Linked DNA regions of Diceros bicornis minor. The protein of the gene in region 1 interacts with the protein of each later gene in a pairwise test. Links are inferred from orthologs where the notes say so. Each region holds a gene or a part of one and is shown on either strand. Other genes may lie near its edges.

What was found.
Region 2: the proteins of FHL3 (region 1) and SAXO1 interact in binary tests that used the Homo sapiens proteins (3 or more experiments, as listed by UniProt). The two-hybrid records come from large-scale screens. The link is inferred for Diceros bicornis minor from reciprocal best matches to the Homo sapiens genes FHL3 and SAXO1.
Region 3: the proteins of FHL3 (region 1) and RHEBL1 interact in binary tests that used the Homo sapiens proteins (3 or more experiments, as listed by UniProt). The two-hybrid records come from large-scale screens. The link is inferred for Diceros bicornis minor from reciprocal best matches to the Homo sapiens genes FHL3 and RHEBL1.
Region 4: the proteins of FHL3 (region 1) and MRPL27 interact in binary tests that used the Homo sapiens proteins (3 or more experiments, as listed by UniProt). The two-hybrid records come from large-scale screens. The link is inferred for Diceros bicornis minor from reciprocal best matches to the Homo sapiens genes FHL3 and MRPL27.

Annotation. Positions count from the first base shown.
Region 1 is NC_080752.1:51,939,255-51,946,568, reverse strand, and holds the start of FHL3 (four and a half LIM domains protein 3), read left to right. Parts: upstream 1-4,294; 5' UTR 4,295-4,366; intron 4,367-4,373; exon of another isoform or gene 4,374-4,450; intron 4,451-7,314. UniProt on the Homo sapiens protein: Recruited by SOX15 to FOXK1 promoters where it acts as a transcriptional coactivator of FOXK1.
Region 2 is NC_080761.1:41,259,547-41,267,318, reverse strand, and holds the start of SAXO1 (stabilizer of axonemal microtubules 1), read left to right. Parts: upstream 1-4,754; 5' UTR 4,755-4,769; coding exon 4,770-4,792; intron 4,793-7,772. UniProt on the Homo sapiens protein: May play a role in the regulation of cilium length. Stabilizes microtubules at low temperature.
Region 3 is NC_080756.1:20,581,670-20,589,086, forward strand, and holds the start of RHEBL1 (GTPase RhebL1), read left to right. Parts: upstream 1-4,410; 5' UTR 4,411-4,590; coding exon 4,591-4,642; intron 4,643-5,245; coding exon 5,246-5,317; intron 5,318-5,665; coding exon 5,666-5,733; intron 5,734-6,008; coding exon 6,009-6,091; intron 6,092-6,174; coding exon 6,175-6,231; intron 6,232-6,435; coding exon 6,436-6,483; intron 6,484-6,828; coding exon 6,829-6,910; intron 6,911-7,068; coding exon 7,069-7,158; 3' UTR 7,159-7,417.
Region 4 is NC_080757.1:35,945,762-35,952,787, forward strand, and holds the start of MRPL27 (large ribosomal subunit protein bL27m), read left to right. Parts: upstream 1-4,013; 5' UTR 4,014-4,039; coding exon 4,040-4,079; intron 4,080-6,461; coding exon 6,462-6,593; intron 6,594-6,994; coding exon 6,995-7,026. Other genes in the region: crossover junction endonuclease EME1, read right to left, coding at 1,591-1,718, 1,804-2,590.

The DNA.
Region 1 (7,314 bases):
CCTAACTGCTACCAGCCAAGGCAGTGAGCTTTGCTGAGCCTCGGTCTCCCCATCTGTAAAATGGAGGTAATGATAATACTATACCCACAGGATTGTTGTGAGGACTAAATGAAATAATATATTTAAAGTGCCTAATGCTGCGTTCACCCCTTAGCAAGTTCACAATCAATTGGAGCTATTATTTTTTTTATTACTAAACCTACCTCTAAGGATAGAGAGAAGGTTGAGCACAGAAGAGCATTCCAGAGGCATTTGGTTTCTTTTCCACCACGTGAAACTAACCTTCAGCAAGTTCTGCAGTTGCACCCATTTCCTATGATAGGGCCCAAAACTCCAGCTGAGGAGCTCTGGGGAAATTCTCTCCTCATTCCCCAGAGGTGCCAGTCCAGGAGACAAGTAGGCACAAAAGTAGCTGAGATCTGCCATGTAAAAAGTTTTTTCCAGGGGCCGGCCCCGTGGCTTAGTGGTTGGGTGCGTGCGCTCTGCTGCTGGCGGCCCGGGTTCGGATCCCAGGCGCGCACTGACACACTGCTTCTCCGGCCATGGTGAGGCTGGCTCCCACATACAGCAACTAGAAGGATGTGCAGCTATGACATAGAGCTATCTACTGGGGCTTTGGGGGAAAAAATAAATAAATAAAATTATTAAAAAAAAAAAAAGTTTTTTCCAGCTTCTGAGTCTGAGCCCAGCCCGACTAGGGCCACGTGCATTAACAAAATTCCATCTCATTTGTCACTTAACCATTGAAAGATAAGACCTTTCATGATCTGGCCCATGCCCACCTTTCCAGCCTCATCTGGATTAAGAAGCCCAGCCATCAAGCAGGGTGACCAGGTGGCAGCCCCAGTCACTCTTGCCACTTTCCCTGAGGAAAGCATTGAGTGAGGGCATACCCAGGAGAAGGCAGCTCTGCACACTGGAGGGCGGAACGTTGGAGTCAGCCCTGGATTTAAATTGGACACCAACCACCTATCAGCTTGTGATTTGGGGCCACATTGTCAAACTCTCTGAGCCTGTGTCCTACTCTGTAAAATGGTGATAATAATGACCACCACCTCCTATGGCTTTTGTGAGGCCTAAAGGAGGTAAGAACTAGCACTTAGCACAGTGCCCTGCATGTAGTTGGCATTTAACCACATGTGAGTTCTCCTTCTACCCCCCACACTCATGCTGTAGAAGTCACTTATTTCATCCTCTGTGCCCACAAACTCATTGCCAGACTTGGGATCACGATGAAAGTGTTTCTGGGCAATCTGAACGTGGGAATCTGCTAAGCCATGAGGCCTGCAGGGGCTCTAGGCAGCCCAACGGGTAAGAGTGAGCAATATACCCAGAGAAGGAAGGAAGTTTTCACACTGGAGGAAGGAGGGCTTGTGGTTACAAGCATCGGAGAGTGATTCAGCACCCAGAGGAAACCATGAGAGGCCTGTGAGTTGTCACCCAGGGCCTCCTTTTGAAAACTCTTTCGAGGTGAGAGAACAGTTGGAAGCCCCCTTCCACCACAAGCTAAGGAAGGGTGTATGGGGACCTCCTGGTGGGTGAAGGGATAATCAGATCCCACTTACTCAAGGCCAGTCATCCAGCACTTAGTCTTTGCTTCCAGCCCCGCCTCAGACACACCTGTTCCTGGAGAGGGGGGAGGAGTGACAGGGAACAGGAACAGGGAGTCCATGTGGCTGATCCCTAGACCTCTCTGGGGCACGTCCTCTGGGGTCAACGGAAATAGAGCAAGCAGGGAAATGTGAGCCCACTGGGGAGCTAAAGACACAGGCCCTGCCCTACACCAGTCTCCCTCCCCCACGCTGGGCCACATCAGAATTCTCCTAACTTTCTCTGGCCTCCAGACTCCAAGTGCAATAGCAGAAGCTTAACACTTGACCCTGAAAGGGGGGAGGTAGGGAGGGAGAGTCCCACGTGTTGAATACCTACTGTGTGCTCTCATCAGTCCTCACAAGAATGCTGGGAGACAGGAGTCCACCACCCTTTTTTTTTTTTTAATTATAATTGTCCTCACTTCTGTTCACTTTGATTATTTTCTTTCTTTTTTTTTTTTTTTTCCTGCTAAAGAAGATTCGCCATGAGCTAACATCTGTTGCCGATCTTCCTCTTTTTGTATGTGGGTCGCCATCACAGCACGGCCACTGACAGATGAGTGGTGTTAAGTCCACACCCAGGAACCGAACCCGGGCCGCAGAAGTGGAGTGTGCCGAACTTAACCACTAGGCCACCAGGGCTGGCCCAAGGGGTCAACCACTCTTAACAGATGAGGAGACTGAAGGTTAAAGAGGTGAACTGACTACAGAGGCTGTAGAGCATAATGGTTAAGCTCTTTTTTTGGCCTAAGGAGCTTTGACATTTGTTTGTCTGGATTTGAATCTAGGCTTTGCCATTATTAGCTGTCACCCTTGGCCGTTACTTACTCTCTGTGCGCCTCCATTTTCTCATCCTTAAAATGGGGATTAAAAATACATATTTCATAAAGTCATTGGATAATCAAGTGCATTAATATATGTAAAGTGCTTAGACAGGGACTGGTGCAAAGTAAGAATTCAGGAAATAATTGGCTCTTACTAAGGCTGTTCAGCAAATTTAAGCTGTGAGTAAAAACCAGAGACCCTAACTCTACTTTGGTCCAGCACCTTCCTTGCTCACTCATAACCCCTCTCTTTCTGAAGGCTGCTCACCTTTGCCCTCCCCTCGCCCCAGAGCGGACCCCTTCTTGCCATCTACTCCCACCAGAGTCTTCCCTGCGCTTCCCAGGGCTAGGAGCTCACAGGATGGCTGCTCACTCCCTGGACTCCAGATAGTGGGTGCCTGTGGTCCAAACTGGGGGGTGGGGGTCCAAACTAAAGTAGTGCCTGCTATTCATTCATTCATCAGATATTTGTTATGTACCAGACATTGGAGTAGGTACTGGACATGTGGTGGTGAACAGGAAGGACCCAGTCGCTGCCCTCATGGCACTTACAGTTTAGGGAGCTGCAACAACCATTATAAACAAGCAGTTAGTTACTTTGAAAGGAAACTTGGCCTCTAGGGTGACTTTGGACCTGGGAAGGCAGCATGTGATTCAGAGATGGGAGGAGGGTGCTCAGGAGTTCCAGCCTGGGATGGACTGACACTCTGCTCTGAGAGCGTGGCTAGACCCAGTCTGGGGGATGGGAGAGCCTCTGTGGGCCCCTGAATCTCTACTCTAGACTCAGAGGTTATTTCCAGGGTTAGTTTGTTTTGCAAACAGCACAGTAGAGCCTCCTCCTACACCCCCCCCCCCCCCCCCCCCCCCCCCCCGCTTCCAGATCGAGGCTATTTATTCCTAGTGACAAGCCTGAGGATCCCAAGGGGGCTGGCCTCAAGGACCTGGAGGGGGCCTGTGTCCCTGGCAGGCGCCAGTCCTCCCTCCCAGGCACGGGGAGGAAGCCAGAGGGTTGGAAAATGTAGAGGTGGGGGAGGAGGGGTTCCCTCCACTTCCCTCCACCACCCCTGCAACACCCCATCCATACACACACACACTCCTCACACCCCTCCCTAAGAAGCCCAAAAATCATGGGGCCAAGGATTAGGGTGTCCCCTGGGCCTTAAAGGTCAAAACTATTCCTGGGCACAGTGGAAATGAGGCAGGACTTCTCTGTCCAAGGATGCAGCTGGAGGTGAGGAGGTGGTTACTTCTGTTTGCCACTCAGAATTGTAGAATAAAGCCCTTTGAAGGTCAAGGCCCTATGGGAGGGAGAGGGGTCCTCTCTTCACTCTGTGTTTCCAGAGAACACCTTGGTCCCCATGACAGGGCCATGACAGTAGAGTCAAAACCACCCCCTCCTCCAGGCTGGATAAGGCCTCCTTTACAAACTCGGGCTGAGTGTGACCCCTGGGGGTAGAATGGGGGGGTGGGGGCACGAAGAGGGCATGAGGACCCTCTGTTCTCAAATAGACCTTGGTCGGCTGGGTCCTGTACCCCTTGCCTGAAACGAATACAGCAGTCTCCCGCTTGCAGCTGTGGGGGGAAGGGGGAGAGGGGAGGGAGAGAGGACGGCAAAAGCTGCAGGGAGGGAACAGGGGCGGGGTCCTGGCCGCCCAGGAAGGTTGGGAGAGCCAGGTTAGGCTGGGCTGGAGCGGGGAGGCTGGGGCGGGCTCCAGTCTAAACGGGAGGTGGGGGCGGGGGCTGGCCCCCGGCCTCCGGGATGGGGGGCCGGGGGCGGGGTCCGCACCCTGAGGGCAGGGGCGGCCGGGGGCGGGGTCCGGGCGGGGCGGGCTCCCGCGCTCACTTCCTCGGGGAGGGGTTGGGGCCGGGCTCCCAGTCGCCCACACAGTCCGTGTGCAGCCTGCAGCCTCGCCGGCAGCTCGTCCGGCCCCCGCTTGGCCCGGCCCGCAGGTAGGAGCCGCCCAGGGACGCGGCCCCGGGGTCCCCGCCCCACCCGCGCGAGCGCCTCGCCCCGCTCCTGCCGCCCGCGTCGAGGTGAGCTCCCCGCCGACCCCGGCTCCGAATCCCAGCGCCCGGCCCCCGCCCTCGGGCCGGGGAGGGAGTGGCGGCGGCCCCCGCCCGCTGCCCCCCGCCCGGGGCCGGCCGCGGGCGCCGGGATCACGCTGAGCCCCAGAGGGCGCCCCCCGGACCGCACCGCTGCCCGTCGCCCGGCGGGGCGGGGGCTGCTTCGAGAGTGGGGCGGAGGAGGGGGCCAAGTTTGAAATGGAAAAGCCAGAGTCGAGAGAGAGTCTGGGAGGGTTCGAGAAACTGAGGCTCCCAGAAAGCCCAGAGGAGCGAGAACCCGAGACAGGGAAAGAAGGGACGACAGGCTTCGAGTGGTAGCTGCAGAGATACCCGAAAACGGGGACAGAAACTTGGCCGTACACTCCCCAAGAGACAGACCGAGGCATAGGGACGGACCCAGGTTTTGTGGAGCATTTTAAGAAAAAGCATACAGTGACGCCAGTGAACACGTCCTAGGATGCTTCCCAGGGCCTTCGAGGGTCCTGGGCAAGTGAGGGGCCCTGAAGCCTAAGCTTCCTTAGCCTCGTGGTGAATCAGGCTCTGTGAGGCCTTTGGAGACATTCAGAGACTGGAGACAGACTCTCGGGCATAGAGATGCTGTTGAGTGGTAGAGAAGGGGGGTGGGGTGGGGACCAAGACATTCCGCCCCATAGAGACACTGAGAGGCAGACTTGGGTGTTCAGAGGTAGAAATCCAGAGGTGGGCTGTTGGGAGATAGCCAGTCAGAGGTACAGAGACACCCACAGCGTAGAGACATCTGCTGAAGTGTGCAGGATACAGAGACGTGCTGAGGACCAGAGCTAGACTCAAAAGACAGAGGTTAATGGAGGCGCACTGACAGCTTCCAAGACAGACCCTGAGATGAGGGCTGTGGAGGCAAGGATGTGGGGAAACGGAAACTCTGGGCCCACTGAGTCCCCATGAGGAGAGGACCTGAGACAGTAAGATTGCAGTCAAGGAGGAGCCCCACGTGTGTACCAAGACAACCCCAACTTATTTTTAAACTCAAATCTTGGACGTGCTGCTTCAGCCCTGGGAGACCTGGGGTGAATGAACTGTTCCTCTCCTGTCCCCAGAGCAGCTGCTGGATCCTGCTTCCCATCCCCCTTCCCCTAAACTGCTCCAAATCCCAGGCCCCATGGGGGGAGGGGAGGGGAGAGTGGAGAGTTTGGGGTTGGTGCCTGGTGGCAGGGGATGGGGGGGGGGATTTGGATTTCTCCCCTGAAGTCTCCTGTCGACTCCTGGGACCTGGGGGAGGGGTCTGTTCTGATCCTGACTCACAGCTGTGGGGCCTGGCCAGGGTCCTCCTGGACAGTGGGAAGTGGAGGGGGGCAAAAGGGTTGAGCAGTTGGCATGGGTAATTGGAAAGGCTTCTGGGTGTCTTCCAATCGCAGGGCTGGCAGCTGGGGAGAAGAGCCAGGCTCCTGTGCTAGTGATGTCACCCAACATCTCCTTTCCCCCTGCTCTTAAATGGTGACCACCCCCTCCACCACCACTGCAGCATTTCTAGGGAAAGAGAGACAGGAAAGGACTCCAGGCTGGGAAGCAGGGGACCTGGGCTCTCTGATATCTGCGTGACCTTGGGCATGCCCCTGCCCTGTCCCTAGCTTCTGTGCTCAGCTGTACAATGGAGATAATATACTGTCCTGCCGGCCTTTTGTGAGATCTGATGAGACGGTGGGTGGGAATGCACTTTCTGAGAGGCAAAGCAGCATGCAGGTGTGTACACCTGTGTACCTGTGTGAGGGGCCTCACAGTTATGCTCACTGAAGTCAGGCTGGCCCATCTGGTCTCAGCGAACCCCATGGCCTGGGCCTCTTCAGTACCCCCAGCAGAACTAGGGGGTTCCCTCTTTGTTCTCTCCCTGGGCCTACACTGAGAATGTCCATGTCAAATGCCAGGGCAGCTCCCTGACCCAGGCCTGGCTGAGAAACTGTTGTCTGACCCCAATATGAATGAGGGGCTGATAGTAAAAACACTAATAGCTACTATTTACTGACAACTTACTATCTGCCAAGCGCTTTCCAAGTATTATCTCATTTAAGCCTGACAACTACCTTAGGAGGTAGTATTAGATGGGAAAATAGGCTCAGAGAGCTTAAGTGATTTGCCCAAGATCGCCCAGCTTTATATTTACCAGCTTGAGCGTCTACACACCACATGCCCACAGCCATTTATCCCACTAGTCTGAGCTCTAGGAGGTGCCAAATGTGTGTGTCTAAGTCAGGTGTAGGAGTGTGTGTGTGTGTGTGTGTTGGTGGGGGCAGGGGCTGGGAGCCATCTGGCAGACTGAGCAGTCTCCCCTCACCCCACCACCAGCCATGAAGGAATACAAGACTGGCTCCCTCCAGTCCCCCAGCCTTGCCAGGGATAGGGGGAGGGGCGGGGGATGGGCAGAGACAGGTGGGCCTTGATAGTGCCCTTCACTCTGTCCTCACTAGAGCCCAGCTGGACAGACTAGGGGGACTAGGGGATTCTGGGAAGGAAACAAGCCACGCCCATACCCTATTTGGGGTGCCCCTGTCCCAGAGTGGTGACTGCCTCCCAGGGGGCGGACCCAGGGCTAGCCTGGGCCTGGGAAGGTGGCGGCTGCTTTGAGCCAAGCCAGGAAGGAAGGAAAAGGCCCAGGGCACTCCTGGATGGACACATGGCCACACTCCACCTGTGCGGCCCCCTGCTGCCCAGTGGCTGACAGCCCAGGCAATCCTTAGATGTTGGGCCAGAGGAAACCCCGGGCCTGAGTGGCAGGGAGCGGACTGAGAAGGAGGGGTACCCTCCACCTTACAGCATAGCCGCCACCCCCAGAAGTCCCTGCACTGAAGACCCCAGCTGCT
Region 2 (7,772 bases), on another chromosome or scaffold:
CCTTTCTGCCATGTACTCTGCCTCCTGGAGTGAAGGAGAGCCCTCTTTATTGCTGATACCAGGCAAGGCTCAGTGGGGGATTCTAAAAGACCACAGTAGAGGCAAGACAAGCCACTGAAATCCACAGATGCTGTTCTCCTTACAAATAGGTTAGGTTCTAAAACACTATTGGAAGTCCATTTGTTTGAAAAGCCCAAAGTTGTGTTATACTAGCTACTATTCATGCTGCCTGGTGGTGGCAGGAAGAGTTGCCATGTTTTTCTTCTGATGAATAGCTTTGTTGGCAACTATGAAAATTCTTAACCTGTAAGGTTATAAGTTAAGGACTGTACAAGGCAGTACAGAAGAGAAAGGATCCTAAAAGAGGTAGGGACATGACACCATGCACACTAGAGGAGAGTCACAGCCATAACAAGGAGCAGTGGGATCGTCAGTAGCTCCCTGGGGTGGTGGTGGTGGTGTAGTGGTGGCTTTCAAGATGGGCCTTGAAAAAAGGGAAGCATTTTGGAAAAGTGAAAGTGGCGGGAAAGAGAGCAACTCCAGGGACCGTTACAGGTGTATAAAACTGAAGCTGGGCTCTGCGGAGAGAGGAGAATTATGGAAAACTCCTTCAATTAATTGTTCATGTCTTTTAATGCCTCTGATTGTGTCACATGAAAGCAGGTCAGAGAGTCCAAGCAAGGGACAAATTCCATATTAGCCAACAAAAATATTTCTAGGCATCTTTCTAGCACTTGAGTGCTTACAGTTCTTTTGTCTGTACCTTCAAATCCTAGACCTGCACTTTCCAACAGGGAAGCGACCACCACATGTGGCCTTTGAGCCCTTGAAATGTGGTAGTCCTAATTCAGACGTGCTGTCAGTGTAAAACACATCTTGGATTTTGAAGATGTAGAGGGAAAGTAAAAGATCTCATTAATAATTTTTTATATTGATTATATGTTGAAGTTATAATATTTTGAATAGATTGGGTTAAGTAAAATATTAAAATTAATTTTACCTGTTTCTTTTTACCATTTTAATGTGGCTAGTAGAAAATTTAAAATGACGTATGTGGCTCTCATTCATGGCTTGCATTCCATTTCTATTGGATGGTGCTATTCTAGAGGTGCTCGTTACATCCTTAAAGTTCTGTCATCTGTTCTAGGGTTCCTTGAGTCACAGTTGGCTCTGAGTGAGGTGCATGTCAGGAAATGCACATCGTCATTCTGATGTAATAGAGATGTAGGTTCTGTTTATGGTTAGGTCATGTACTTCATTCTCTGAGCTTCAGATTTTTCATCTACGTAGTGGGGATGTTGGGTCATATATTCTCCATGGCCCCTTTCAATTGCAAAACTCTATGATTCTGGCTTGGAGTCAACTACTGCTGAGTTTTTCTGGGTTCCATTGAAAGGTGTCTATTACCCCTTTTACCAAATATCAGAAAACGTCAGGATTATTTCCTTTTTACCTCTGGTCCTTTGGTAAATCCTGAGTGGAATGACTTTAGAGAGTTCTGATAGACTGAAGAAACCTTCTCTCTCCCCTTTTCCTTCTCTACCTATTGGCCCCATCTAGGCTTGTTTGTGCTGCTGAGCAAGGTGGCCAAGGCAGCTCCTAAAATGAGTACAAGTATCCGAGAACTGGAAGAGGTCTCATTTTTTTGGTTCATGACTGTCAAGCCTACATTTAAATCTTGCAAGCGTGGTGATTCCACATACTTTCTTTAGGCACTGATTAGGTCCATATAAACAGAGAATGTCTCTTTTCCCTTTTGGCTCTACTGATGTTTGAGCAAATCAGTTGTTTTCCTTTTCCGGAGGACTTGTAAATATCTTGTAGCAGTTCATTGTCCTATACACTGTCCGACTGCCCATCCATCTATTAAATAAATACATAAGCATTAGGATAGCTTCCAGAACACAGAGATGTCAGTCTTGGTCTTTATCGTAGAGGAAGTCCTGTTTAAGGAGGGGGTGGGCAGACCAACAAGGAGAAGATACAGTGCTTGGTGTCTTGAGAAGAATATTCTGGGTATTTGGGTACAGGTAAGGAGAGGTGACCCCATGAGCAAAGTCAAGCAATGAAATATTCGCTTTCAAATAAGAGTTTTTGAAATTTCAAAGTGAGACAAGGTTTTAGTTAACTAGCAGCAAGTCAAATCAGATCTGCCCTCTATGTGTCAATATAATTCCATTTAATGGAACATCAGTGTCTGAATGGAAGCTCGTTGCTATACTGAAATCCCCTCATGATACCAATCACAGTGTAGTATTTTGCCTTCACATTTATTTTTCTTTTGGAATAAGCCTTTACAGGATGTTACAATTTTAAAAAGTAACAATATGGAAAGGGGGTTATATAAAAGCAACATTTTACTGGTTAAAAAACAAGGGACCTGGAGAAGGAAAATATTGCTATATCTGTGGAGTCTGTTTTATTGCAAGTCCCTGAATCTAAGTTATTCTTAAAAAAATCTTGACTTTTCTTTCAAAGAGTGTGAGTGAATAAATATCTCTGTGGAGGTATTTTTGGTACTTCTTGGCTTTTGATTTGAGGTTTGTTGGAGTCTTAAAATGGTAGGGTACTAATTGGGTCAGATTGAAATCTCAGAGAATTGGACTGATTGTGAGCACAGATGATAATAATATCTAACATTTTTATACTGTGGGGAATGGTTATTTTGTATACTATGAAACTCCGCAATTTATCTCTTGAGTGGACAGGTGAAAGCCTGTATGTACCTATGATTAGGAGATACTTTATTAAATAGATACAAAATATAAATACGTATTCATCTTTGTACATTAAATGCCAACAATGTGCATTTTGAAAAAAGAATACTAAACTTTTATTGAGTGTATTTAACACTGTAAAATTCAGATATTCATAATATAAGGACAGTATACTTATGGAAGATTTCCTTGTAAATAATTAGAAAGATCTAAAATGTTCCCCATGAACCAATAGTACTTTTACAATAACAAAAATAAAAAATAAATGTAACAAGTTTATATCATCATAAGGCTTTTCCAATACACAAATCTATGAATGAGAAGAAAATAAATAGAGATATTTCTAAAGGAACTTGTTTATATGTAATTCAACCCATATGAACAATACAGGCTTGATCATTTTCTCTGGGGGTTGGGGGGTTGATGAGAGGTACACAGTAACAGTAAATGTTGGCTGCAACATTTGCGTAGAGGATTGAACTTATTAACAACAGGAGCAGCCTGCTAATCGTTGCCTGGAAAATAGCTTTAGATTTGAGCAGTGATGAGTTCCCTGTATGTCTGTTTCTCTCTCCCTCCTCCACGTGCTGCCCCACGGTACTGTGTATTTTAGTTTCTGTAATTAAAATCGATTCTGTGTAAAAAATTTAAAAATAATTCTATTTTTGATATAACTTTGTCATTCCTCGATATGACCAAGTTGGAAATCACTAGCAAGGAGTTTTGTTGATGTGCTAGTATCTAATGACTAGAGATGCCCTAAGTGGTTGGTAAGGATGGTATGTGGGCACACAGATAATTGATATACTACTTAGTTTTTGAGAGCTCAAACAGCTACCCTTTGTCCAGCTGTAGAATAATGTCCAGATAGTAGAATAATGAGGTTCATTTATTACCATGAGTGCAAAATGGACAAGCTTACTATAAATCATAACGTCAAATTATAATCTGTCATCTACCTGCATATTGAGGCATAAGGTTCATTTAATCATTCATTTATATATTCAATAATTTATTCAATAAAGGTTTATTGAAAGCTTAGTGTGTATCACGTAGGATATGAGGTGCTAGGGCTGTAGCTGTGAGCAAGATAGAAAAGGTCCTGAGCTTAATAGATGAGACAGACAGTAAACAAGCTTACCAACAAACATGCCTATTACAGATAACATTGAGTGATGAGGAAGGCGTACACAGTGATGAGGGAAACCGCGAGAGAGGGGACAGGGTGGTGGGGTGTAGTGTAGGTATAAGGTGATCAGCGGAGGTCTTTCTAAGGAGGCAACAATTCAGATGAGACCTGAAAGAATAAATAAGCCAGACTTTCAATGTGAAAATGGTTTCACGTAGTCAGTGGTGGTCAGTATACTCAGAACTGAGGTGGTTCTGCTATGTGTGCACTGATGTTCTGAATTGACCCAGGAACCATGAGGAGAGACACCAGCACACAGCCTTGGAGCATCTTGTTAGGTCAGGTATTAAGCCCTTAATTGCTGGGCAATTGGGAGGCCCGGGGAGGTCTCAGGGCAGGTCATGGGGCAGCTGGGTTGGCACTCAGAGAACTCAGGGCCACAACCATTTTCCTATTATGGGGTGGAAGTATTTCAATATTTAAAGAAGCAGTGTGGTACGTGTAGTAGCTGAATATCAGCCACACTTGTGTGTAATTTTATGGTCCAAGGAATTTTGACAATTAACCAACTGCAGTTATAGATCATTTAAAAAATTCTGGCTACTTCACATAGTTTAGTAGAGAAAAGGAAGGGTTAAATTCCTGCTTTCAATGCCAGCATTCACATGATTTTATGACTGGGTCACATTTTGAGGAGGTAGCATTATCAGACTGGATGTACTCTTCCTAAGAAGGTAAGCGACCTAACTTCATGTGTCTTTTGTAGGCGGCACCACTGTCCGCATCTCCCTACCAAGATTTACGATAAAACAGAGAAACCATGTCTTCTCTCCGAATACACCGAGAACTACCCTCTCTATCACTCCTATCTGCCCAGAGAGTCCTTCAAGCCCAAGCTGGAGTACCAGAAAGGGTCCATACCAATGGAAGGTCTGAGCACATCGAGGTGAGGGCAAGTAGTGTGAATATATGAACGTACAGCACTAGTGGAGTAACGTACAGTACTAATGTACAGTGTTAATGAAATAATGTACAGTCTTGCATTAATGTACAGTATCAACATATGCTATTAATGCTTTAATGTTAATTTGCTATATCTCTGAAAGGAAAATTCTGTATTTATTAGCCTGGTTGGTTTTTCCCAACCTCCTCTTAAAGAGAAAGGATTCTTGCTTGCTGGTGGGAGTGGGGAGACTAAATTGATCTACATAACGAAGGGTTGGAGGTTAAGCAAACTAATAAAACGATGGAAAGAGAGGGGCTGCTGCTGAAAAAGCAGTTTTGAGCTTTGGAACATAAGCGCCACGTCATCTAGGCTGGTGATGGCGGTGGTGGTGAAAGACAACTTGATAATAGAGAAAGAGTGAGCTTTTTGGAAATGATGCCGTAGACTTTGAATTGGGGTCCCCTTGAATGTCCTTGAAGAAAATGAACGAAGAATGTATTTCTTTAGCTCCAGGGCTGTGCAGAGACTGAACCACATGGCTCAATGGATTCGGGGTGCAGAGGGATCTGTATTGAGGGGTCGCTTTATGATAAGCCATTATCCTAAATGATTTGGTTTAAGCACAATGTTTCTGGGTCCTGATTCATAAAAAAATTATATTTTATGCAACCTGTTTTTTAGCCTGTGACTTAAACAATATGAACCTTAAAGTTTGCGCTTCGTTTTGCCAAGAAAACAGCATCCTTAGTTTCTGAGAGTCTAAAGACCACAAAAAGAGATGTGCACCATTCCTGAGCATTGCTTTTCCTTTTAAGAAACCATGGTCAATGCTAATGAAAAGTCCTCTGCACACATATGCACAAGAGACAAGTAACTGGTCGAAAAGAGTCAGAGTAATCTTGAAGAATGGTCTGCAAATATCCCGTTCAGCCTCTGGTGCTGGTCTTCCCATCTCTTTATATGCAATTTCCAGGAAATCAAGCGCACCTTGTGAGATGTAAACCAGTCTCAGATGTTGTTATATAAGGGATATATTTCCTATCCTGGAAATAGAGAAAAGGATGCTTTGAGGGATGGATGTTGAGGGGTGCCCTTTGTTTGTTGCCCACAAACTTAAGAGAATGAGGGCAAATCTTCTCTCTGGAGCTGGAGCCCTGCCCCATCACCCAACTCTGAGGCCCCCAGCTGGAGCCCCACATGCCCTCCCTCTTCCTGACAGTGCTTTGCAAAACAAAAACTTCCCCTCTGACCTGTCCTAAATTATCCCTGCCTTATGTCACTTACAATAAACATATGACCCAGAAGTTCCTTCTGTCCCTGCCAGGGCCAGAGTAGCAATATTATTCATGTCAAGATGTGGCCAAAGTGGAGGAATGCAGACACGGAAAGAATTTCCAGAACAAGTTGTTAATGATCATAAGGGCCTTAAAAAGAAAAACTGACAGGATCAAGGTTACCCATGAAGAGAATGAAGCAGAAATTCTTCTCTCTCTCTCGTTTGTTTCCTTCCCCAGAGAGGGAACTAAAGGATGAAATGAGCAGAGGGCATCCCTTCTCTTCTCTCCCCTAAGTTGTATCATTTCTCAGCCCTGTGCCTGCCTGGGCACTAGTTTTCATAGATCAAGAACAAAACTGTGTCTCAGTCAGGATGCATTTTTTTTTTTTGAGTTCCAGTAAGCTTTTATTGAGATAAATTAACAAACATCAAGATTTTACCAACCATCGTTTCTGAACCTTATAAACTCAGCAAAGATTCTGGTCCATATGTGTACATACAACAAAACTATTTCCTATCGGGAAAGGTAAAGAAGCATCATCTGGGTGCTGTACCAGAGGCTTCTGGGGGAAAGGATGGGTCAGCCCTGTGTCTTCACACCCCTGTATCTGCATGGAGTGTCTCCCTCTGCCCTTAGAACCCTTGTTATCGAATGTTCCACCAATTTCTCTATTTAAAGTCTGACCCAGCGTCATTTTTGAGATCGGACATGGGGCTGCCACCTGCTGAATGAAAAAGTCACGGGACCTGGGCCTTGGCTTGGTTTGCTGATTAAGCCCAGACACAAAAAACACCTGGTTTCTGGAAAGGTTATCATCCCAGCACGAGGCATCATTACAGCTGCACACAGCTCTTACTGACTGTAAATCTTGGGGATTTACAGCAGGTGCCATGAGGTGAATGCTCATGATTTCAGCCCTTCTTAGTATGAAACTGTTTCTTGCAGCCCTTGGTAATTCTCTCACGTAGGTTCTGCCTTTAGTTCATATACCTGAGATCAATTAATGAATAAGAGGTTTGCACTTCAAGCCTCACTTCCCCTTAGGCACGTCACTTATGTGAGACACTTGGGCCCCAGTTTGGGGCATTATTTTGTTAGCTAAGCCAGATTCCTAAAGATGGGCAAAGTGAATAGTCTCATAAGAAAGAGATGAGTCTTCAAGATGGTATTAGATATTTATTCTAAAGTGAGTGGCACCATGGGTAGGGAGAACTGGAGGCCCAGGGGGGAAGATGGAATTGGGTTCAGACTTGATGACTTTGGCTGAAGGGCAGAGGGCAGGGAGTTGGCAGCACAGACTCCTTCATTTATTGACAAGACTCCTGGGTAAAGTGAAGAGAGTAAGGGAAGCAGGAGCTAAAAGAGAAAAGGCATTTGGAATCCTTCCCCAAAGTCAGGAAAGAAGCAAGAAAGTTGGTAGTGGGCTTGAGTCTTTCCCTACTCATTGAATTTTACATATTTTCTATTCAAATACATACTTGACTTCTCTACTCATCCATACCCCTCGGGATATGCTTACTCTCCTGTATAGATGGGGCCTGAGAATTAATGAAGACATGCAGAAATAGGCCTCAGCACTAGACTTGCTGGGCAATTTCAGAGCCTTTGATGTGCATCTTTGACTAAATTTGGGGATATTTTGCATATTATTTCTTCAAGTATTCTTTTCTGTCTCTGAGGCTCTGTTCATTTCTTTCCTCCAA
Region 3 (7,417 bases), on another chromosome or scaffold:
GAGCTAACATCGGATGCCAATCCTCCTCTTTTTTGCTGAGGAAGACTGGCCCTGGGCTAACATCCGTGCCCATCTTCCTCTACTTTATATGGGACGCCAGCACAGCATGGCTTAACAAGCGTTGTGTCAGTGTGCGCCTGGGATCCGAACCAGCGAACCCTGGGCCGCTGCAGCGGAGTGCGCGCACTTAACCGATTGTGCCACGGGGCCGGCCCCTATGCATTACTTTTTCTCCTTTTTTTTTTTTTTCTTTTTTTTTTTGTGAGGAAGATCAGCCCTGAGCTAACATCTGTGACAATCCTCCTCTTTTTGCTGAGGAAGACTGGCCCTGAGCTAACATCCATGCCCATCTTCCTCAGCTTTATGTGGGATGCCGCCACAGCGTGGTCTGACAAGCAGTGCATCCGTGTGCACCCCGGATCGGAACCCGGGCCGCCAGCAGCAGAGCGCACGCACTTAACTGCTATGCCATGGGGCCCGCCCTATGCATTACTTGTTAAGATGATTGATATATATATATATATTTTAAAGATTTTATTTATTTATTTTCCCCCCCAAAGCCCCAGTAGATAGTTGTATGTCATAGCTGCACATCCTTCTAGTTGCTGTATGTGGGACGTGGCCTCAGCATGGCCGGAGAAGCGGCACGTCAGTGCGTGCCCGGGATCCGAACCCGGGCCGCCAGCAGCAGAGCGTGTGCACCCAACCACTAAGCCACGGGGCCGGCCCAGATGATTGATATTTAATAAACAAATGGATCTTGGTGCCAAGATGCACAGGTCTTACAGATTGGCTCACTAAACACTTATTCCTAATCACCTTCTCTTTTGCCTTCCTTTACTATAGAGGGTAGAAGAGAAAATGCTAAAATATCCAGGCTCCCTTGCAGCTAGAGATGGCCATATGATACAGTTTTGCTCAAGGAGATGTAGGTGAAAATATGCTGTGAGATCTCTTCCTGCATAAAAAGAAAAAAACCACAAGAAGAGAAAGCCTTTTGTCTTAGCCCTTTTGCTATCTTCCTGATTGAAAACAAGATAATTTGAGGATAATTTAATTAAGAGACTACAAAGGTATGGGCAGGGTGTAGGGAAACCACAAAGGGTAGAGTAGTACCCTGGGGAAGGATCAGAGAGGCTGTTACCACTATAGGTCTGAAGGGTGAGGGGAGGAAGTTACTGGAAACAGAACAAGAGAGCTGTGCGTGTGGGAGGGAGTACCTTGAGAGGTGTTGTGACCTTCAGTGGGGGACACAGATATGCTCCTCCCTCCATCTAATCTTCTGCGAATGCTCCCCTTTGGCTGAACCCCACTGGGATCCAGAGAGCAAGGTCTGCCTCCTGGACACAAATCTGGGTGGAAAAGAGTAGAGAGTTAATCTGGAAAGACAAACGGCATAAAAGGCATATCTTATTTATCTTTATATCCCTAGTGTGCAACACATAGTAAGAGTGCCTAGCACAAAGTAGAAGATGAATAAATTTTGATTGAATTTAATTTAATACAGTTCTTTGTTCTATCTTGCAGTGCTTTAAGACATAATCTGGAATCACCACCAACCTTTCTCAGGCCCAAAAATCCAACATAAAATTGCTAGTCTGCAAGGAAATTTCCTTTACCCAGTAGAAAAGGTATTTGGGTCCCTTTCCGAGGCCAGATTAAGAAGTGGCTCTTTGAAACAACTTTTGTAGATCTGGACATTTTGTGTGTGTGTGTGTGTGTGTGTGTGTGTGTGTGTGTGTGTGTGAGAGCAAGATTAGCCATTGCCAATCTTCCTCTTTTTGCTTGAGGAAGATTGTCTCTGAGCTAACATCTGTGCCAATGTTCCTCTATCTTTTGTATGTGGGTTGCTGCCACAGCATGGCTTGATGAGTGGTATAGGTCTGGGCCTGGGATCCAAACCCACCAACCCCAGGCTGCCAAAGCAGAGCACATGAACTTAATCGCTACTCACTGGGTGGGCTGCACATCTGGACTTTTTAAAGCATTAGGTGGTTCTATAGTTTTACAAAGCCTGTCCTCCAGGACAATGTAACTCCTACATGCCCACTTCATCAGGACCTTCCAGAAGAAATAACTTCTGTGTGCTACCTGTATGACTAAGTCTTTTTCCATATCTATAAGATAAGGGTGATAATGGCTACCCATCATTCAAGTCTCAGGCACAAATGTCACCTCCTCAGGCTTTCTAGGATATCATACAAAAAAAGAGGAGTACCACATCCCAAGTTAAGCTCTAGCCCATGAAGATTTTGTGTTTCTTTTTCCCCATTGCAGTTATTACTTTTTAAATGTAACTTATTTATTGTTTACTTGTAGATTGTTGGTCTTCTCTCAAAAGAATACTTGCTTTTTGTGGGCAAAGACCTTGTCTGTGTTGTTTGCTGCTCTATTCCCAGCACCTAGAAGGGTACCTGGAACATGACGGTTGTTTGAAAAATATTTGGGGGCCGGCCCCGTGGCTTAGCGGTTAAGTGCGCATCCTCCGCTACTGGCGGCCCGGGGTTCGGATCCCTGGTGCGCACCGAGGCACCGCTTCTCCGGCCATGCTGAGGCCATGTCCCACATACAGCAACTAGAAGGACGTGCAACTATGACATACAACTATCTACTGAGGCTTTGGGGGTCGGGGGGAAGGAGGAGGATTGGCAATAGATGTTAGCTCAGAGCCGGTCTTCCTCAGCGAAAAGAGGAGGATTAGCATGGATGTTAGCTCAGGGCTGATCTTCCTCACAAAAAAAGAAAAAAAAAAGAAAAATATTTGTTGATGAATGAATGAATAATACCAATCATCAACCTTAGGGCTGGTGTGAATATTAGACGAGATAACAATGACACGCACCTGGCACATAGTAGAACTATATAAATCTAGGTGTTTTCTTTCCTCCTTTTCCCTCCCTCACCTCCTATAGCCAATCCTTCAGCAGGTCAGATTGACCTCAGCGTCAAAACATATCCTGAATTCTCTACTTCGTTCATTGCTAACGCTCTAGTCAAGCCACTCTCACCTCTCACTTGGACTACAAGTAACAGTCTCCTAGCTGATCTCCCTGCTTCCCCTCTTGCTTCTGTTCCCCTCAAACCCCAATCCATTCTCCACAGCCAGGGAGATCTTTTGGAAACACAATTCAGATCATATCATGCCCCAACTTAAACATCGTAAACAGCTTTCTAGGTACTTAGAATTAGCCCAAACTCCTTTACATGGCCTGGTCCCTGCCATCCTCTCAGACTTCATCTGTTTTAGGCTAATTGGCCTTTCTCTCTCTCTCCTGGAATTTAACAAATTTATTTCCATCTTAGCGCCATAGCATTCATGGATTCTTCTGCTGAAATCTTCTAGCTAGCTGGCTCCTTATTGTCCTTTGGACCTCAGTTTAAATGGGGCTTCCTTTGGGAGAAAGTACCGTTAATCTAAAGTGGTTATTTCTTTTTTTTTTTAATTTTATTTATTTATTTATTTTCCCCCCAAAGCCCCGGTAGATAGTTGTATGTCAGGCTGCACATCCTTCTAGTTGCTGTATGCGAGACACGGCCTCAGCATGGCCCCAGAAGCTGTGCGTCGGTCCGCGCCGGGGTTGGAACCCAGGCCGCCGCCAGCAGCGGAGAGCGCGCACTTAAACGCTAAGCCACGGGGCCAGACCTAAAGTGGTTATTTCTTATCACACCGCCTTTTCTAGCACTTAATATTAGCTAGTATTTCCTTGTTTATATGTTTGTTTCTTCCCAACTAGGTTTTAAGTTTCGTGAGCACAGAGACCTTGTCTGTCATGTTCATCGCTCTATCCCCAAAGCTAGAGCAACGCCTGGAACATACAGTATATGCTTAATAAATATTTGTTGAATAAATGACTGCATTGATTATGATGATGATGACAACGAAACCTCAGACGACATGGCCACAAATTCTAACAATTTTCCCAAAAATAAGAATTGCAGTTCCGAAACTGGATCCCGGAAGACTGTGGAAACCTGACAATAAAAGATCTGAGGCTGAAGGCTGGGGCAAGCAAAGGGAATATGCTGGAACTTTGGCCTCTTTTTTCCTATCCAAGGACCCCAGAGACCTTGCAAAACGGAGGCCTAGAATCAGAAATTCCAGCCCAGCCAGTAGGGGTATTTTCCATCCAGATTGTTCGCAGCCACTTTTGCTAGGTTGCAAATGCGCAAACACCTCTAGGACCCCGGGTTCCTTTCTGTTTCTTTATGAATGAACCGGCTCTAGTCTACGCATGCGCAGCTCCTGGTTCTCCCGCTCCACGTGAGGCCCACCCTTCCCTCCTGCTGCCAGCCCCGCCCTTACCCTTTCTCATGGACCAATGGCGAGCGGCCTGGGGGGCGGAGCCCGGAGCGGCGCGGCACTGTAGTTCCCCCGGCGCCCGGCTCCCTCGCGTTAGTCTTGCTGTGTTGTGATCACGTGGCCAGCTCCGGGCGCGGCGCTTGTTTTGGTTTCCCTCTAGCTTGCCCCTGGCAGCTTAGGGGTTAGCGACTTTCCTGTGCCGGTTTGCGCGCCTGCATACACTCTGACCTCCTCTTCTTAGGGCTTTCTCAGCCCGCAGTTCTGTAAGCCCCTCGGGGCCGGCTCCTGCCATGCCGCTAGTTCGTTACAGGAAGGTGGTCATCCTCGGATACCGCTCTGTAGGTGAGTCTCCGCCTTGGGGAGAGCACGGACGCACCGCGGCTTTGTGGCCAGAGGAGGCGCGCTGCCGCGGGAACGTGACCCAGGGAGGAATGGAGGCATCGTTAGAACGGGAGTGTAGAGCGAGGGTTGAGAGGATGGAGGAGGAAAGGCTGGGGTGGTGGTAGTGTGTGGAGAGCTGCAGGAAGCCGGAGCATGTAAGGGTTAATGTGGGCTTGGCTGCAGGAACATCAGAGTGGTCCCCAGAGTTACTCTGGGGGGTGGGGATGGGATCAGGATTTGATGATGGGGGCGCGGTCTGTGTGCGTGTCTGGGTGAGGGGACAGACTTGATCCTAGGGAATTCCGGATCTTCCCGGGGTGGGGTGGGGTGGGGAAAGGCGGCAGGAAAGCTTTCCTGCGGCGCTATTGAATGCATCCGGTGGCCAAGGTGCACAGATCCAGGGCGAAAAGAGGGTGAGGGAGGCTAAGGGAAAGCATTGCATGGGGCACTCACAGGCTAGGGTGCTAATTTGGGGTCCTCTTTAGTCCTGGGCCACAGCCCGAAAGGACAGAGGTTGTGAATGTGGATGGTTGATTTGGATACAACTACCACTGCTTCCCACAGGGAAGACATCTTTGGCACATCAGTTTGTGGAGGGCGAGTTCCTGGAAGGCTATGATCCTACAGTGGAGAATAGTGAGTAGAATTCTTTCCTAGGGGTGGGGCAGGGAGGGCTTGGGTGCCCCACTCAACTCCATAAATTCGGGATTTTCTTGGTGCCAAGGGGTTGATTTAATTAGACATTAAATCGAATCTCTTCTCTAGCAGTCCTGTTCTATGAGTGGAGCTAGAGTGTGGACTTTGCAAGATACTGAGTCCAGGATGGTGTAGATGTAGACAATAAGAACCCTAACATTGTCTCTCCAGTTTCCTGGAAAGCTGTCTGGACCTGGTCCATCTGTGTCACCCCCAGGGTTAAGAAAGTATGGGGCACACATCACTAGCCCTACAAGGCACCTCAGTTAAGTTTTCTTTTCTTTTCAGCTTACAGCAAGATACTGACTCTTGGCAAAGATGAGTTTCACCTACATCTGGTGGACACAGCAGGGCAGGTACCAGTTTGGGGTAGGGTATCTAAATGTGGCAGTTCAGTCCTGGGAGATGAAGTCTGGTAGCCTCTGTGGCTTATCTGTAAAGTAATATTAAAAGAAAAGCATTTTAGCAGCTAGTAGTGTGCAGTGCTCATTGGAACTACTCTATAAATACTTGTGGAATAGAAGTGACTGGAGTAGGGAGTGCCCCAGGGAGGGTCCCCAGGATGCAGCCCACCACCCTTTGCTATTTGAGTGTTGTGGATCTCAGTATTGATATTTCTATTTCTTCTCAGGATGAGTACAGCATTCTGCCCTATTCACTCATCATTGGGGTCCATGGTTATGTGCTTGTATATTCTGTCACCTCTCTGCATAGGTAAGTGAGTTGTGAGTGGAGACTTGGGAGGATCTGAGGGCTGTGCCAGAATAAGGTTATAGCTCCATATCTTGTGTCTAAAGCTTCCAAGTCATTGAGAGTCTGTACCAAAAGCTACATGAAGGCCATGGGAAAACCCGGTAAGTGGCCCTGGGGGACAGAGACATAGTGTGGACATGAGGGGATGGGAGAGGGCAGAGGGGAGTATTGGTCCAAGTTAGGGAGGAGGCCGAGACATAGATCCTGTCTGGTCTGATGGAGAGTTGTCCAGCTGTGATAATGAAGGAGGTTGGGGTCCATGGGGAATGGGAGGGGATCCTATAGTAACTGCTGTTTCCTCACAGGGTTCCAGTAGTGCTAGTGGGGAACAAGGCAGATCTCTCTCCAAACAGGTATGGAAATCTCTGCAGCTCAAGGTGAAGGAAAGTGAGCTGGACTAGGAATCAGTCAGGCTCTAGTCCTGGCTCTGCCACTGGCTTGAACAAGTTCACTGCACCTCTTTTCATTTCTAACTTGAAGGTCATGACAAGATAACCCTTCTATTGCAAAAGCTATAATTTCATATTTTAAGCCTCAGTCCTAGGCTCCTTTGTTTTCCTGTATTTTCTCCTTCCCCAACCCTCCTCCCAAACCTTGGAAGTGAGATGGGTCAGAGGAAGTCTAGATTCTATAAAGATTTTGAAGAGAACATGGGGACACTGCTATCCTCCATCTTCATGTCCCAAATTTGCTTCTAGGGAGGTCAAGGCAGTTGATGGGAAGAAGCTGGCAGAGTCCTGGGGTGCGACATTTATGGAGTCATCTGCCCGAGAGAATCAGGTGCTGGGTCTGAAGATTAAGAGGGTGGTCGGGGTAGCAGTGTTTTTCTTATGGCACTGCTTGGTGGTAGGGATGGTGGGGGAGTTGGGTATTCACCTCAGAGCTGGGCGGTATTGGCAGGGAACTGACTTTTTGCCCTGAATCCCTGTCCCTTGCAGCTGACACAAGGCATCTTCACCAAAGTCATCCAGGAGATTGCCCGAGTGGAGAATTCCTATGGGCAAGAGCGCCGCTGCCGGCTCATGTGAGCCCTTGGGCATGGGGTAGCTGCCTTGACTCTGCCCCTGGCACTTGCCAGGCTCCAGTGGGGGCAGGCCCTCAGGACTTCACGGGTATGGTTGCCAGCTGTGTCCCTGGCTCTCTGGGCACACAGTGTGGTACCCTCATATTTGCACACTTTCCCCAGGCTCCAGTGGCCTGGTTGTCAATGTTTACAAAGGGGCAAGGATGTCTCATGGGCACTGGCCTCTAGCCCTCTGTTTTTGCTAAATGAGTTGTTATAATCTG
Region 4 (7,026 bases), on another chromosome or scaffold:
AGCTATGACATACAACTATCCGCTGGGGCTCTGGGGGAAAAAATAAATAAATAAAATTATATTAAAAAAAAAAAGAGAGAGAGTGGGGGCCCGCCCCGTGGCTTAGCGGTTAAGTGCGCACGCTCCGCTGGTGGCCCAGGTTCGGATCCCAGGCGCGCGCCAACGCACCGCTTGTCAGGCCATGCTGAGGCCACGTCCCACATAAAGAGGAGGCAGATTGGCACAGATGTTAGCTCAGGGCCAGTCTTCCTCAGCAAAACGAGGAAGATTGGCACTGGATGTTAGCTCAGGGCTGATCTTCCTCAAGGAAGGGAGGCAGGGAGGCAGAAAAAAAGAGAAAGTGTGGAAGTGCCTTGAAAGGATAAACTGCTTTGTGAATATAAAGGTTTGCTAATACCCCAAATTAAAAAGTGTGTAATTGCCCTAAATTACTGAGAAAATTATGAGATCCAAACAAGACAGGAAAAAAATCTTAATGTTTCATCACTAGACTCTTGAAAATGAGGGGTGGAGTATTTTGGATTCACAGATAAGAGGAGTGGAAGGCACAAGAGCTGTAGTAACCCGGGGAGCCGGGACAGGGAAGGAACATTTACCGTGCGCCTACTACATGCTCAGTGCGTGGTTATCTCATTTAGTCTCCACAACAGAGGGGACTGAGAGGGACTAACCGTGTCCTCATTTTTTACATGAGGCACAAAGAAATAATTTGCCCAGGGTCATAGCAATAAAGCCATGAGACTGGGATTCAGACACGAGCCCGCCCTTTCCCAAAGCCCAGTTAGAGAACTAGGACTCCTGTGCAGATTATCTTCCCTCTGCCCACAGATCCACTCTCCACCCTTCCCTACTCTGTTGTCTGCTGGAGGAGGGTGATCTCTACAGACCACATCGCAAGGGGTGCACGCCCTCTGGCTGGGTATGGCCAGTGGGAACCCAGCAGGAGATAGGAAGGAGGGAGGAGTGAAGTCAGGGTATGGCTTTCCCTGGCTCCCTCCCAATGGGGTCACCTAGGTTTGCCTACACTCCTCTACTGGAGGTCAAACTTCTCTCAGGTGGGTTCTCTTTACATTTCTCTCTCCTTCCCGATTTTTGTAAACACTTCCTCCTCTCATCCCTTCAGGCCTAGGCATGGAAACAGCTATGCCAGTGGTTCTCAACCAGGGGCGATTTTTCCCTACAACAGACATCTGGCAATATCTGGAGACATTTTCCATTGTCACGATGGGGAGGGGTGCTACTGGCATCTACTGGACAGATGCCAGGGATGCCACCTAAGCATTCTACAATGCACAGGATAGCCCAGCACAACACGATTATCTGATCTGAAATGCAAACAGTACCTGAGGTGCAGAAACTGGTTAATGCTGTTATTACCGTGAGGTACTGAGCTGCCCCTTGTAGTTTCCTTGTACCCTGCCCACGCCTTAGAAAACACTCCCTTTATTAAATCCTCCTCAAATTATCCTAAATTGAGTGTGCCATCTGTTTTCCTGCTGGGGCCTTGACTGATAGATATCCTTTAGAATAAAAGCATATTTATCCTGTAACTCTAAAGGGGAGGAGAGAGATCAGCCAGAAAACCCCTACCTCGGCTGGCCCAGCCCTCCTCCTCCAGGTGATGCTGTGAGGCACGGCCTGTGCCTCAATCACACAGCAGCATTCCATGGACTGCAGTGCTCCGAGGAGCTGGCCCCCACCTCCCATCTGTAACAGCACTGCAACAGATGGGAAAGGGGCTGTCAGTGGGTGGCCCAGAAGGCAGTTAACTCAGCATAGGGTGAAGACGGATGCTATGAGGACCTGGATCCAGCACCACAACGATGTGCTTTAAGCATTCCTCTGGCCTCTGAGCTTTCAGCCCATTAACCAGTGCTGCCTTCTTCTTCCTTTCCTGTTGTCTCAGGGTGCTTTCCTTCTGGCTTGCTTGTCCCCGCTGCTGGCATCCCTGTGAGCCTTTCTTCCGGACCTTCTGACTACGCTTGGTTCTCTTCTGAGGCAGGGCGTCCTCAGCATTCGTTTTGATTACTGTCCAGCTGTTGCTCTGGACAGGGCAGGTACCTTGGTAGGCTGGAAGCTGATGGCATGGATTGTCTACCAAAAGGTCTTTGTTATTTAATGCACGCCTCTCTGAGGTGTCACAGAGGGGAACATCACGGATCTTTGGAAAGGGCTGTTTTTTCCAGTCACATAATGCTCCTTCATAATTTTGATGATCCACAATACTTTCAACTGGGGAGCTAGAGTCCTCGGGGCTCAGCTGCTTGTGGGTCAAAAACTTACATGTTAGCCTCTCAGCCAGGGGAACAAATTCCTCCTCATCTTCACTTCCACTGCTTAGCACCCTGACTGGCTCGGTTTGTATGACCGTTGCGGCCGTGTCCGGAACAGGTGGTGGATCTTTCAACCGTGGTGATGAAGGACAGGAAGCCTCAGAATCTGAAGTGTCAACCACTATAACCTTCTCCTCCCTCTGAGGGTGTCTTCTCTTTGCTGAAGATGGTTCCTTCTTTAGAAAGGCAAATGTTGGCAACTCCTCAGAGTCACTCTCACTGGATTCCAGTGAGAGTGATGACTTCTTGAGAGCCATCAATACGTGCTATCAAATTAATTCCCTAAAAGGAAAAGAGAGAGGAGACAGAGACTCAATCAATTCAGTCTACTAGAGGTGTTCTATGGCCTAGCTTTATGGAAATAAATACAATATATAGAGAAATAGAGAAACAGAGAAATAGGAGAGGGTCCCAACACGTTCATTCTGGGACTCAGAACAGTTACGTCTGTAGCCTAACAGGAACCCTCTTCAAATCCTTTCTAGGCCAAGGTGAGGTATAAGCAAAGTGGAAGTTACTATTACAAAATTTTAATGGGGTAGTAACAAGACTCAACAGCACCTCCTTGTTGATCTCTGCATTTGAACTGGAGATGCCAAGTCATCCTTTTTTAAAAAATTGAGATATAACTCACATACCACAAAATTCATCCTTTTAAAATGTACAGTTCAATGGGTGGTTTTTGGTATATTCACAAAGTTGTACAACCATCACTACTACTAATTCCAGAACGTTTTCATCACCCTAAAAAGAAATGCCATAGCCATTAAGCAGTCACTGTCCATTTCCCCCTCCCCTAGCCCCTGGCAACCACAAATCTACTTCTATTTCTAAGGATTTGCCTAGTCTGGATATTTCATATAAACGGAATCATACACTACGTGGTCTTTTGTGACTGTCTTCTTTCACTTAGCATTATGTTTTCAAGGTTAATTTATGTTGTAGCATGTCAGTACTTCAATTTTTCCGGCTGAATAATATTCCACTGTATAGATATGCCACATTTTGTTTATCCATTAATTACTTGATAGATATTTGGTTTGTTTCCATTTTTTTGGCCATTATGAATAATGCTGCTGTGAACGTTCACGTCCAAGTTTTTGTGGGGACGTATTTTCAACTTTCTTGCATATATACCTAGGAGTGCAGTTGCTGGATTATATACAAAAGACATTCCTCGAACAAATATTTACCAGTGCTGTAGGTGTGACACGGGATGAGCAATGTAACCTTTCTGGGCTTTCTTCTCTAGTAAAATAGGAATAACAACAATACCTACTTTAGAAGGTTGTGAGAAATAAATGAAATCATGCATCTGCAAGGCTTAGTACAGTATCTGGCACAGGGTAGGCGCTCAGTAAAGTAAGCAGAATGACTAGGGAGGGACCTTATCCCTGTCTCCCTGACTCCCGCAAAACGAGGGATCGGCCAAGCCGGCTCCTGCCGGGCACGCTCCGCGCCTCTCACCCCGGCCCCAGGGCGGGGCAGTTCCTCCACACTCCGCGGTCCAGGACGCCCTGGCCACCAAGCCTCTGCGGAACAGGGATCAAGAGGGAAGCCCTGCCCCGCCCGCCCGCCGCGCCAGCAGCCGCTACGCTCACCTGCGACTTCTCGCGCCACTCTTTCAACTGTCTCGCACGCCCCGGAAGTATATCGCCCGGTAGCGGAAGTAGATTTCTGAGACCGGAAGCGAGTGTACGGCAAACATGGCGTTGGCGGTGCTGGCGCTGAGGACGAGAACAGCTGGTAACGGGACGCCGTGGTCATTGCGGGGCGAGGGCTGGAGGCGGAGTGGACACCTTGCAGGGAGCCGCGGGGTGGAGGCCGGTTCCTCCGGAGGACCCTGGGTGCGGACGGGGGAGTGTGTGGGGCCCGCGAGGTTTGAGGGGTGGCTGTCTCTGATCATGTGACACATCTAGGGCGCCGAGCCGTGTGGGTGGTGGTGGTTCGAGGAGCACGTGTTCCTCCCCTGCCTGGCATGCAAGTACAGCTTTCTTGGCAGTTGGTGACATGGGCACTCTGCTTCCTCTCTCTGAGTTTGTTTGGATCCCTTCATCTATAAAAATGGGGTACTAACATTGGCACATTGGAGCTCAAAAAGTGAATCCGATCGTTCAACGGATTGAGCTCTTTGTGCCAAACACTGTGGTAGGTGTTGGGGATCTCAGAGAAGATGAAGACGTAGTCTCTATCCCCTGGACGGTTCTTTCTAGTGGATGAACCAATAAATGAGCACATAAATAAAATGGTTGTAAATTGTGACAAGTGCTGTGAAAGTAAAAATGTGTGTATGTGTCTTTCTTTGGGTTGGGTGGTCAGGGAAGCCCTCTGAGAAGGTAACATGTAAGTTAAGACCTAAAGGATGACAGGAGCCTAGCCCTGGAAGAGAGTGAGGGCAAGAGAGTGACTTGACCGAATTTTACATTTTGAGAATTAAACCATTGCTCTTACGTGAATTTAAGAGGGGATAGGAGTGGAAATGAGGAAACCGGATGGGAAGCTGTAATAGTAGCCCGGATGAGAGATGATTTAGCCGAGATGTTAGTAGTGTCAGTGAACTTGCAGGGAAATGGATGGATCTGAGATCTGTTTTGGAGGTAGAATCCACAGAGCTTGCTGGTTAGCTGGATATGTGAGGTGAGCATAGGAAAGGAATCTGCAACTGCTTAGGTGGTGACATCATTTACTTGGAGGAGGAGGATGGGGAGTAGGGTGGAGAGCAAAGATTTGTGACTGAGATGATATAGGTAAAGCAAGAGCCCAGTTCCTGAGCTTGATAAGTGAGTGAATGAATGAATAAAGAGGTGTTTAAAGGTAGGTAGGGCCGGCCCCGTGGCTTAGTGGTTAAGAGCGTGCGCTCTGCTACTGGCGGCCCGGGTTCGGATCCCGGGCACGCACTGATGCACCGCTTCTCCGGCCATGCTGAGGCTGCATCCCACATACAGCAACTAGAAGGATGTGCACCTATGACGTACAACTATCTACTGGGGTTTTGGGGGCAAAAAAAAAAGGAGGATTGGCAATAGATGTTAGCTCAGAGCCGGTCTTCCTCAGCAAAAAGAGGAGGTTTAGCATGGATGTTAGCTCAGGGCTGATCTTCCTCACAAAAAAAATAAAAAAATAAAAAAAAAAAAGTAAAGGTAGGTAGATCCTGGTGCTGGGCATTTAACATGTTGTCTCTAAGTCTTTATCGCTGGTCCTTTGCCCCAGCTAGTCTCTGTTCTCATTAAAACTTCAGAAACCTAGGCTTCAGGAACTCTAAGCTTACAGGCTCTAGAGACCCACAAGGCTTCTCTAAATACCCTGGCATGGCCCTGATTAACCATGGCTGTGTCTGGATACCTGAAGGCAAGCACTGCCAGCCCTGCACTTGTCATATAGCAAGTGGTTTCCATCTTGGTTAGTATGAATTTTAGTTCACTTTCCTTTTTAGAATAACTGCCGTTGAGCACTTTGGAATGAGTATGGAGAGGTCAGATTAACAAGGGCACGGTGTCAGTCTTCTTGGTCGGACCTATGCTTGATGGGCTTGCCGAAAAAAGAGTCCAGCCTTCTGAGATGGCCAGGAGCCTGTGGGAGCCACCCTCAGAGATGCTGCCCTTTTTGTTTACAAGTATCTGGTGTGCAGTGGATGGGTGGGTGGGTAAGAAAGTGGTGCATGGGGCCAAAGTAGGAGCCTCTCTGGGTGTCCTGTTGCTGGGTCCTGTGGGCTGGCCCCTCCACATTGCATGGAGCCTTGAGGGCATGTGGTGAGTGAGGCGGAAACAGGCAGCTCTGTGGTGTCCTCTTGCTGGCTTCTGTTTCTGTTTGTCTCACAACAGGACTGAATGTGTCAGGATGCAGGACACGTGGTGTTTACTTTTTTTTTTTCCCATTTATATTTCACTGCCCCCTTCTCCCCTGGCCACACACACACAGTCTCATGCAGTGCTTACACCCTGGAAAATACAAGGAATGACTTGTCCCTCGCCAACACAGTCAAGTGGCATTTCTGCTCACATATTTTCCTCACCTCCCCTGCCACTGCCCGCTGCCATCTCTCAGCTTAGCAAATGGCCCATTGACGCAGAGAAAGAGAGTCTGATTGGGAGCCTCTCTGTCTGAACAACATTTCTGTTCTCTCTGCAGTTACAGCCATGCTGAGCCCCCCTCAGGCTGAAGCTCTTGCCGTCAGATATGCATCCAAGAAGACAGGTGGCAGCTCCAAAAACCTCGGTGGAAAGTCACCAGGCAGACGCTTTGGCATCAAGAAAATGGAGGGTGAGGGTGTGCCTTGGTTTCTATTTCCCAGCTGCACCCTACCCTGCTGCCCCTGGCATTCCTTTGAAGAGTGGGAAGACCATGCAGGTGCCCCACCGTCACTCTCCTTTAGCTCACGAGAGCATTTGGCTCCAGGTTAGAGAGGCAGAAAGACCTGATGCGGGGTGGGGCCCTGAGGTAGAGTAGATAGATAGGAACCTTGGCCATGTAACTGGAGAGAGGAGGCTGCTGTGTGGCAGACAGGGGGCTGCTTGTGTTGGACCATCTGGAAGTTGGTTTTATCCAGGGGCAGCCTTAGAGGTTGGTGTGCAGCATTTGGGCTGTCATGTTTTCTTAGCAGTTTGTTGCGCTGCCCCATCACTGGGACCCAGAGTGAGTACACTTGTGTACTTCTCTTCTAGGTCACTATGTTCATGCTGGTAACATCCTTGCG